Arabidopsis thaliana: one gene and its partners. The protein of the gene in region 1 interacts with the protein of each later gene in a pairwise test. Each region holds a gene or a part of one and is shown in the gene's direction. Other genes may lie near its edges. The genes, in order: AGL103, AGL56 and AGL55.

Region 1 (3,718 bases):
GCTTACAACGAATGGAACTACAGCAAGTTCCGGCTATGGCAGCTGACTGATTACGACAAAATCATTTTCATCGACGCGGATCTCTTAATCTTGAGAAACATCGATTTCTTGTTCTCGATGCCTGAGATCTCAGCTACAGGAAACAATGGAACTCTGTTTAATTCAGGAGTTATGGTGATCGAGCCTTGCAACTGTACGTTTCAGCTTCTGATGGAACATATAAACGAGATTGAGTCTTATAACGGTGGAGATCAAGGTTACTTAAACGAGGTATTCACATGGTGGCACCGGATTCCAAAACATATGAATTTCTTGAAGCATTTTTGGATTGGCGATGAAGATGACGCGAAACGCAAGAAAACAGAGCTTTTTGGAGCAGAGCCTCCTGTTCTTTATGTTCTTCATTACCTTGGGATGAAGCCGTGGTTATGTTACCGTGACTACGACTGTAACTTCAACTCCGACATATTCGTTGAGTTTGCTACCGATATCGCTCATCGAAAATGGTGGATGGTCCACGACGCCATGCCACAGGTGATTCACTCTCTCCTAAAAACCTTAATAGAACTCAAAAATCACATAATATTTTCAATCTCATATTGTGATCAATATTCAAAATATTATTAGGCGTTTAGTCATGCGTTGAGAGACTAACTGCATAGCATTATTTCTTTCTCAAAAATTTCCAAAACTTGAAAAAATAAATAAACTAAAAATTACTTACTACCCAAGTTTAGAATAACCATATGAAATTTGAATATACGAAAATCTTGGTGGGTTAGTAAATGCAGAATTAGCCCCCTACGCAGTAGGCATCAAGTTTTAATGTCTATGTTTTATACACCTTATAAAAAAATCATTTCAAATTTTCTTTCTTTATGATTAGTTTAAAAAAACATTGGTTGGCAGAAATATAAAAATAGTTAGACGTTTTCCCAAATTATTCTAAAATTGTGACGGTTAGTAATTACCATATATGATATTTTGCAGGAACTTCACCAATTCTGTTACTTGCGATCCAAGCAAAAGGCACAGCTGGAATATGATCGCCGGCAAGCAGAGGCCGCAAATTATGCCGACGGTCATTGGAAAATAAGAGTAAAGGACCCGAGATTCAAAATTTGCATCGACAAATTATGTAATTGGAAAAGTATGCTGCGGCATTGGGGCGAATCAAATTGGACTGACTACGAGTCTTTTGTTCCCACCCCACCAGCCATTACCGTAGACCGGAGATCATCACTTCCCGGCCATAACTTGTGACGCAATAATTATACATACTTATTAATGGATTTCATGAGTTTTTTGGTTTGAATTGTTGCTGCGAGATTAGGTGAATATCAGTTGTGTAACTATATCTTTTTCCTATAGTTTGTTCAAATTGAATAAAACATTTTTTTGCAGTTTAACCACAAAATAAAACATATGTCGTATTTATATGCCATTTTTGTATACAAACACAAACTCAAAAATGTTAGTAACATTCAAATAGTTTATACAGAAACGATAGATTATAGACTTACATATAGCCAAACAACACAAATTAATTGATGTAACTAAACATATGTAGTATAATTAAACTTTCGAAAAATCCAAATTTTTAGTCGAATCGCAGTGTAGTATGTATACATTACGTATAGTATATAAATCTATGTGTGTGTATATCAGTGTATGTATTTGTGTATGTATGTACATGTGAAAAGAATCTCTACTAAAGATTTCCATAATATTCAACCAAAAACCAAAGTTTTCCTTATTAGTAAAACTACACCTTCGTTAAACATATAAATTGATTCTATGAGAAAAAAGTATATTAAAAAAGGCAATGAAATCTTCACCGCTTTCATTATTGATTCGTCATTAATTACCGAGCGAGACCAAAAATAGAAATTCTCGAACTAAGGGTTTTATATATTCGCAAACAATGATCACCACCTCTTCATTCAATTCACAGAGAATATACACAACCATGGCTTCTTCTTCGTCCTCTTCTCTTTCGTTTTCAACATCGAAGAAGAACAAAACCTTTTTCAAGAAACCTAATTCTGCTTTTTCTTCTTCGAGGGCCACAAGTTTGATCAAAAGACAACAGACTGTCTTTAAGAAAGCTAAAGAGCTTTCAATTCTCTGTGACATCGATGTCTGCGTCATCTGTTACGGATCAAACGGAGAGCTTAAGACATGGCCTGAAGAGAGAGAGAAGGTCAAAGCCATAGCTCGAAGGTACGGTGAATTAAGCGAGACGAAGCGTCGCAAAGGAAGCGTTGATCTTCACGAGTTCCTCGAGAAGATGAACAAGGATGATCCCGAGAAGGAGGAGAAGAAGAAGATTAAAGTGAGACGTGTACCCAAAGTCAAGTATCCAGTTTGGGACCCTAGGTTTGACAATTACTCTGTGGAGCAACTCATGGGACTGGTTCAGTCCTTGGAACGAAACCTAACCAGGATCCAACATAGGACTTGCGCTGTTGTTGAAGCTCAGGGGCAGAGGAGGGTACAGTACACGAACATGGCTAATCAAGAACTGATGATGGCTAATACGATGAATCAACTTCAACAACACTCAAACCAGGTTTCCATGTATCTGTGGAACCATGGAAACGGTGCTTTCTCACAAATCCCAGTCTCAGCATTGGCTTCAAACCAAACGCAATCTCTAGCTCCGATTCCGCCTGAACTGATGATTTACCCGAATTCGGATGCGGGAAATTACTCGGGGTCTCTCGGGGTACAAGGAACTGGGATCAATGGGCTTCAGAACATGAACATGTTAACCTATAACAACATCAACAGCGTTAATGATTTCTCAAAACAGTTTGACCAGAATTCCAGAGCGGAAAGTTACTCTAGCTTACTTGGGGTACACGAAGACGGAAACAATGAGTTTGAGAACCCTAACATGTCCAGCCGCAACAACTTCAATGTTCAAGACTGTGCAGGGTTACTTGGGATGCAAGGAGCTGGAACTAACGGGTTGCAGAGCATGAACATGCATGACTACAGTAACAACAACAGCATTAACTCTAATGGTCTTTCGCATCAGTATGTTCAATTTCCAACGTACAACAGCCAACATCAGGACCGGGTTTTCAATTTGGATCAAAACGGAAACAATACTAGGTCTCTCTAAGATCTATCACAATCTCTCTTATAGCTTCATAATTTTTGGTTTTTAATATCTCCTAGTTATATAACTAAGAAGCATATATATTTATAACTTTTGGTTAGTGCAATTATCAGTTTGAGACAGTATATCGATCTCCAAGTTTTCGATTATGTCTACTTTTATTTATTAGTGTAATGTGACTAAAAGACTAATAATGTCTCCCATGCTAGTGACTCTTTTCTTATACTACTTCTTTTTTTTGTTATCCTGAGATTCTTTTGTTTGTTATATTTATTGCTGAGAATTAAGACTAGTAATGTCTCCCATGTTAGTGACACTTTTCCTATACTTCCTCTTTTGTTATTCTGAGATTTTTTTTGGTTTGTTATACTTATTGCCGAGAATTTGATTATACGATTAATGTTTGATGAATAAAAAAACCCTAGGCAAGCTTTTAAGTTTTAAGACGGGTAAAGTAAAACACAATCAGAAATTACTTAAGCTAAAAAAATACTTTAGCAGCTCTCTCCAATCATATGTCCTCGCATTAAAAAGGGAAAAAGGTCAAAGAAATGAAAAATAGAAAAAAGTACAAAAGATCCAACTGGACAA
Region 2 (2,788 bases), on another chromosome or scaffold:
CGTCTTTTCTTGTATGGAATTTTCATAGATCTGGAGAGATCTGATTTTTATGGTTTCTTCAGGGATATGGAGTGGGGGATGGAGGAGTATAGGCGGACGTTGGAGGAGATGGAGAGGATGGAGGCGGCGGAGCTGAAAGAGCTTGAGGAGAAAGCGGAGACTGCTCGGAGAACGGGGAATTTAATGGAGAAAGCGGCGACAGTTGCCGCGAAACGACATATTGCGGCGGCGATGGGATCAGCCGCCGCGTCTATGAGATCAGCTTGGAAGACTGCAGCTGGAAATAAGGTTCATCCATCTTGATCGATGATGATGATGATGAATATGATAAGATGACGATGATTGTCAAAGTATTGGTCCCCATGTTATAGGATTAGTAGGTCAAGAACATTTTAATGAATAATTATTTCCTTTGATAAACATATGGGTTACTACTTACTATTGCCGAAGAATTATGAATTATAGGTAGTTTCTAGTTTATGTATCTGTAATTTGTAATCAATATATATTTATGGGATTATAGGAAGTCGTAAAATGTGGTACTAGTTTATTGGTTTGATGGTAGAACAGAAAAAAAAAAAAAAAAATTGGTGGGACACCTAAAAGTACGAAAAAATTACATAAAAAATATGCGTCATTCGGTTTTAGAAAGAAAGATATGTATGTGATGTTGTTATTCTATTATGCGGAAGCATTAAAGTTTGGGTGATTTAGTGACAAATTTGTCATAGAATCGACACATAGATCAGAATTGAGACAACGAACGAAAATCAACTATAAACCACCGTTTAAGTGCCCTTTCGGTTTCGACAAAAAAATGTGCCATTTCGGCTGATCTCTCGAAGCTTTATCTCTCCAAAATGTTTACATATGGCGCTTATGGAAAAGCAGAAACACGCTTATGTTCCATCAAACCAATAAACTAGTACCACATTTTACGACTTCCTTATAATCCCAAATATACTGTATATTGATTACAGTATACAAATTATTTTTACTCTAAAATGGTGCGTATCACAATACTCACCAAAAGAAAAGATCATTCATTAACACCAAATGATTAACAAATTAACAACAATGCCTAAAATGTCTCCACCGCGAACTATTTATATAATCTCCGACCAAGACTGCGTTGGCAAACTATCCGTCTTCGACGCTCCTCTGTTCATCAGATACCATATTTCTTGGCCCGCAAGAAATTATCTCTAGGGTTAGGGTTTTCGCAGATGGGTCATGGAATAAATGCGGTAATGCAAGAGGTTTTGGATTTGGGTTTACAATACTGTAAAAAAAATTATCTTCGCTCCAAAAAGTGAACCAAATAAAATTAGATTTGTTTGTTTTACTTTTTTCCTCCACGGGAAAGTAAATATATTAGTTCATTAAGAACACCACAAAAGAAAGGAAAAGAGTTCTCTACCTTTGTGTATTTTTTTTTCTAATTTTTTGCTAAGAGATTTTAGGAAAATAGTTAAAGAAAGGTAATATTAAAAAACATCTCAGATTATGGAAATTCTCCGAATATGGAATAAGACCAATAATGGGGAACATGCAATTAATTATGAAGAATAAATAAAATGTACTATAAAGAGAAGAATCTCTGTCTGTCTGTCTGTGTAATTGGGGTTTCTTTCTTGCAAGTGTTTCAACATGGGAGGCAAAAAAACAAAGATTGAGATTAAGAAGATCATAAACAAACCCGCAAAAACGGTTGCTTTCACAAAACGCAGGGAAGGTCTCTTCCGCAAAGCTTCACAGCTTTGTCTCCTCTCTCCAGCCACTCAAATCGCAATCTTAGCGGCTCCTATGACTTCCAAATCTCACGCTTCTTTCTACTCTTTCGGTCATTCCTCTGTCGATAACGTTGTCTCCTCTCTGCTTTATGACCATCCTCCTCTTACGGCAAACCAAGACAACAGGTCAGGGTTAGGGTTTTGGTGGGAAGACAAACGTTTTGACGTATCGGAGAACGTTGAGGAGTTAAAAGAGGCGGTCGATGCTGTTTCGAGGATGTTGAACAATGTGAGATGCCGATTAAATGATGCCGTGAAGAGTACTCAAAGAGATGGAGGTTTAGAGATTCTTCATCATCAGGAGGAGGAAGTTCTTCAGACTCGCAACGACGAGACAAAGACGAATCAAACTCACGAATTTGAAGGCGGCGAAACTTCTGGTTCTGCAAGTTGGTTAGAGAACGAGGATGATATTCTTCACTTTGATGATGATTTTTATACTGGTATTGATCCTTTGTTTTGATCAACTTATTTTATCATCTAATCTATTACTGATGCACTTGTTTGGATTTTAAGAGTGGCACAAATCTACTCAATAATAATAATATACGAAAACTTTTTCAAGTATATAAGATCCTAAATGTTAGTGTACATAAGGGCGAAAGAAGATTACGAGCCAAATCCCTCAGAGTCTTTTTATGGCTTATGAACAGGAAAGAATATTATCGGTCGAGTCAAATCATGGAACCTTTCATCTTTAGGAAGATCAATGGTCCGTTGATATCTCTCTCTCTCTATGCTTTTTCTGGGAATACCTTAAGGAGGAAATCGATGAATCGTTTAGAGTAAAGTGTAGGCTCGATGGCTGAAATTGTCATTGGATCATATTTCATAGATTTGCAAGTATGTTCCACTTTCTTCTTCATGTTGTACTCTTGGAGGATGTCAATGATGCCCATGTATACAACCACATCATATACTTCAAAGAGCTCGACCGTTCCTGATTCCTCGTTGTCTTGGCCGAGTTTGTGGTGGGCTTGAGCTGGCATGTTCAC
Region 3 (2,943 bases), on another chromosome or scaffold:
TGCAATGTTATTGCTGCTCTTCAGTAGTTCTATATTCTTGAGCGAGCTAATAGAGTTGGTTATATGTTTATTCGTTTTGAAAAAGGTTAGTTTTAGCTAAGACTTGCATATCTCTTACAGATTTCCTTCGACCATAAAAGTGTCAAAGCAGAGCAAATCCACAGCAAATCCAGCAAAAGTTCCACTTAAGCAAACTACCCTTCCAATGGCAAAAGCTGCCCCACAAGATTCGGTATATCTTCTTGTATCCTTGTTTCTATCTATTGCTCAAAGATTAAAAACCACCACTCTAAATTGCTAAAGGCTGCTTATTTTTTCTCAATGTCGGTCTAGAATCTCTCCGGCATTTTGTTGACAGCCTTGAAAAATCTTCGGACTGATATTGTCAAAGAATCGCCAGATTTAGTCATGGCATATCATATATTCGGGTAAGTTGACGATCCATTTAATGATATTTTCAGTTTCTTTCTCAGATCATAAGTAATAGAAAAATCCTTGTGTGTTTATAGCAATGCGACGCTTAAAGAGATAAGTAAACGACTTCCCAGAACCAAAGAGGAACTCCTTGATATCAATGGTCTAGGAAAGTAAGTATCTTGAAGCTTTTTGAACGCTACTCTCTCTCTTTGTATAACCAAAGGTATGAAGAAAACTCGGGGGATTTTGGTGTTTTAAACTCTAAACAGAGCCAAGGTGAGCAAATACGGAGATCGGTTATTGGAAACCATAGATTCAACCATCAACGACCACTACAAAACCCGTCCCGGTTCAGGGAAGAGGAGAAGAGACGAGAACGTTAATCCGAATGTAGCAGAAGATGATGATCCCGATTGGAGTGCGAGTCAGTCTCACAAAAAGGTAGTGAAGAACAAAAAATAACACGTTCATAAACTTTAAAGGACCCAAACAAACTAAAAAATTAAGAAGCTATAGAAATCATTTACATTTGCAAAAATAGTAATTCAATACCATCTGTCAAGCAACATATTTGCCCATACCGGGGTGTGATTTAGGGTTAGGTTAAATAAACCTTTACACCTAATCCACCATGTCCCATGAACTATTGTTAATATGTCATATTCTGCAACTATTTATATACTCATGCAATTCAAATCATCCTTTCGGTATCACGTGTCAAATTTTCCTCATATTTAAATTTGTGTAATTGCAAAACCCTAGTTTCAATGGGTTATCTTATAATCTCAATTCACGACCCCTAAATGTCTCCACTGCGAACTATTTAATAACCTCTACCAAATATTAGTTTCAACGACTCCTCTGTCCATAATCGCATCTTAGCCACTCGACAAACAGAGGAAAGAGACGATATAGAGTGTCTCTTGTCGCGCAAGAAACCGTCTCTAAGGTTAGGGTTTTGGCATATGAGAGAATGTGAACATAAAAAAAGGAAAAACAAGTAGAAAAGAGTAGTACTCTTATGTATTTTACCAAAATAGTTCCAAAAAAAGGTAATCTTAGGAAACAACCCCTTTGCCAAAAAAAAACAAAAGGAAACAACCCATTATGGAAATTTTCTTAATAGAGAATGAATCAATAATGTAAAAAGTTGAGATATGGGAAGAGAGTACACTAGTATAAAGAGAGGACGATGAAAACAATCTCTGTCTTTCTGTGTAATTAGCTTTCTACAAGTTTCAAACAATCTCTGTCTGTAATTTGGCTTTCTTCCTTTGAAGTTTCAATATGGGAGGCACAAAAAGAAAGATAGAGATGAAGAGAATCGAAGATAAGAACGTGAGAGCAGTTGCTTTCACAAAACGCAAAAGCGGACTCTTCCACAAAGCTTCAGAGCTCTGTCTCCTCTCTCCGGGGACTCAAATCGCAATCTTAGCAACTCCTCTTTCTTCCCACTCCCATGCTTCTTTCTACTCTTTCGGTCATTCCTCTGTCGATCACGTTGTCTCCTCTCTCCTTCACAATCAGCATCCATCTCTTCCCACAAACCAAGATAACAGATCAGGGTTAGGGTTTTGGTGGGAAGACCAAGCCTTTGACAGATTGGAGAACGTCGACGAGTTGAAAGAGGCAGTCGATGCGGTTTCGAGGATGTTGAACAATGTGAGGCTACGATTAGATGATGCCGTGAAGAGCAATCAAAGAGATGGAAGTTTAGTGATTCATCAGGAGGATGAGGAGGTTCTTCAGCTTGGCTACAAAGACACAAATCAAATTACCAAACTCGAAGGTGAAACTTCCGCTTCTGCAAGTTTGTTAAAGAACGTAGTGGATAATCTACACATTGATGATCGTTATTACTGATTTCAACATTGATCCTTTGATTTAACCAACTTACTTAATCATCATGTCTTGTTTATTTAGGCTATTATCTAATCTAGCTGTGCATTATTATTTTTTGGATTTTTTCGGTGTTTTGGTTTGGGAAAAAAAAAAGCTACTAATATAAAACCAAAATTTTGTTCAGTTTGATTGAGACTGAAATACATTTAATTAAATAACAAAAGAAAGGTTCATTGTCGATTTTATTAGCAAACAAGTCAGTTGTCCAGCCTTTGGTATGAAGAAAGGTGGCGATTAGGTCTTTGTACCGTTTCTGATTCTTCTCGAACTCTGTTGGCTCTGTCTCGGCCTCGTGGTGGCTTGGTACAGTAGTGTGTAATTCCACTGGAGATAGAGAAAGAGGATTTGAGAAACTCATGTTGTGTTCTTTTGAAGATGAGTGCTGGTCTCTGTGTCCATGAAGCTAGTTTTCCCATATATTATTGCTGCTATAATCGTAACTAAACCTATCCATAAACTTATCCATTAGATCGCAGGGAATGTTTCATTCTAAGACATGTAACTATTCTTATCTCTAGAGATTTCATACCAAACAGAACAAACGAAAAGAATTATCTCTAGAGATTTCATACCAAAAAGAAAATGAAAGAAACATAAATTCCTCCTAATGAAACAAAATTGAAA

The links.
Region 2: the proteins of AGL103 (region 1) and AGL56 interact in a two-hybrid assay, tested with the Arabidopsis thaliana proteins (one large-scale study listed by BioGRID).
Region 3: the proteins of AGL103 (region 1) and AGL55 interact in a two-hybrid assay, tested with the Arabidopsis thaliana proteins (one large-scale study listed by BioGRID).

What each region holds. Positions count from the first base shown.
Region 1 is NC_003074.8:6,416,756-6,420,473, reverse strand, and holds AGL103 (AGAMOUS-like 103), read left to right. Parts: upstream 1-1,969; coding exon 1,970-3,130; downstream 3,131-3,718. Other genes in the region: PGSIP1 (plant glycogenin-like starch initiation protein 1), read left to right, coding at 1-534, 991-1,263. UniProt on the Arabidopsis thaliana protein: Probable transcription factor that may function in the maintenance of the proper function of the central cell in pollen tube attraction.
Region 2 is NC_003070.9:22,409,925-22,412,712, forward strand, and holds AGL56 (AGAMOUS-like-56), read left to right. Parts: upstream 1-1,650; coding exon 1,651-2,256; downstream 2,257-2,788. Other genes in the region: MEE9 (maternal effect embryo arrest 9), read left to right, coding at 63-303; AT1G60890 (Phosphatidylinositol-4-phosphate 5-kinase family protein), read right to left, coding at 2,528-2,788.
Region 3 is NC_003070.9:22,429,029-22,431,971, reverse strand, and holds AGL55 (AGAMOUS-like 55), read left to right. Parts: upstream 1-1,610; 5' UTR 1,611-1,704; coding exon 1,705-2,280; downstream 2,281-2,943.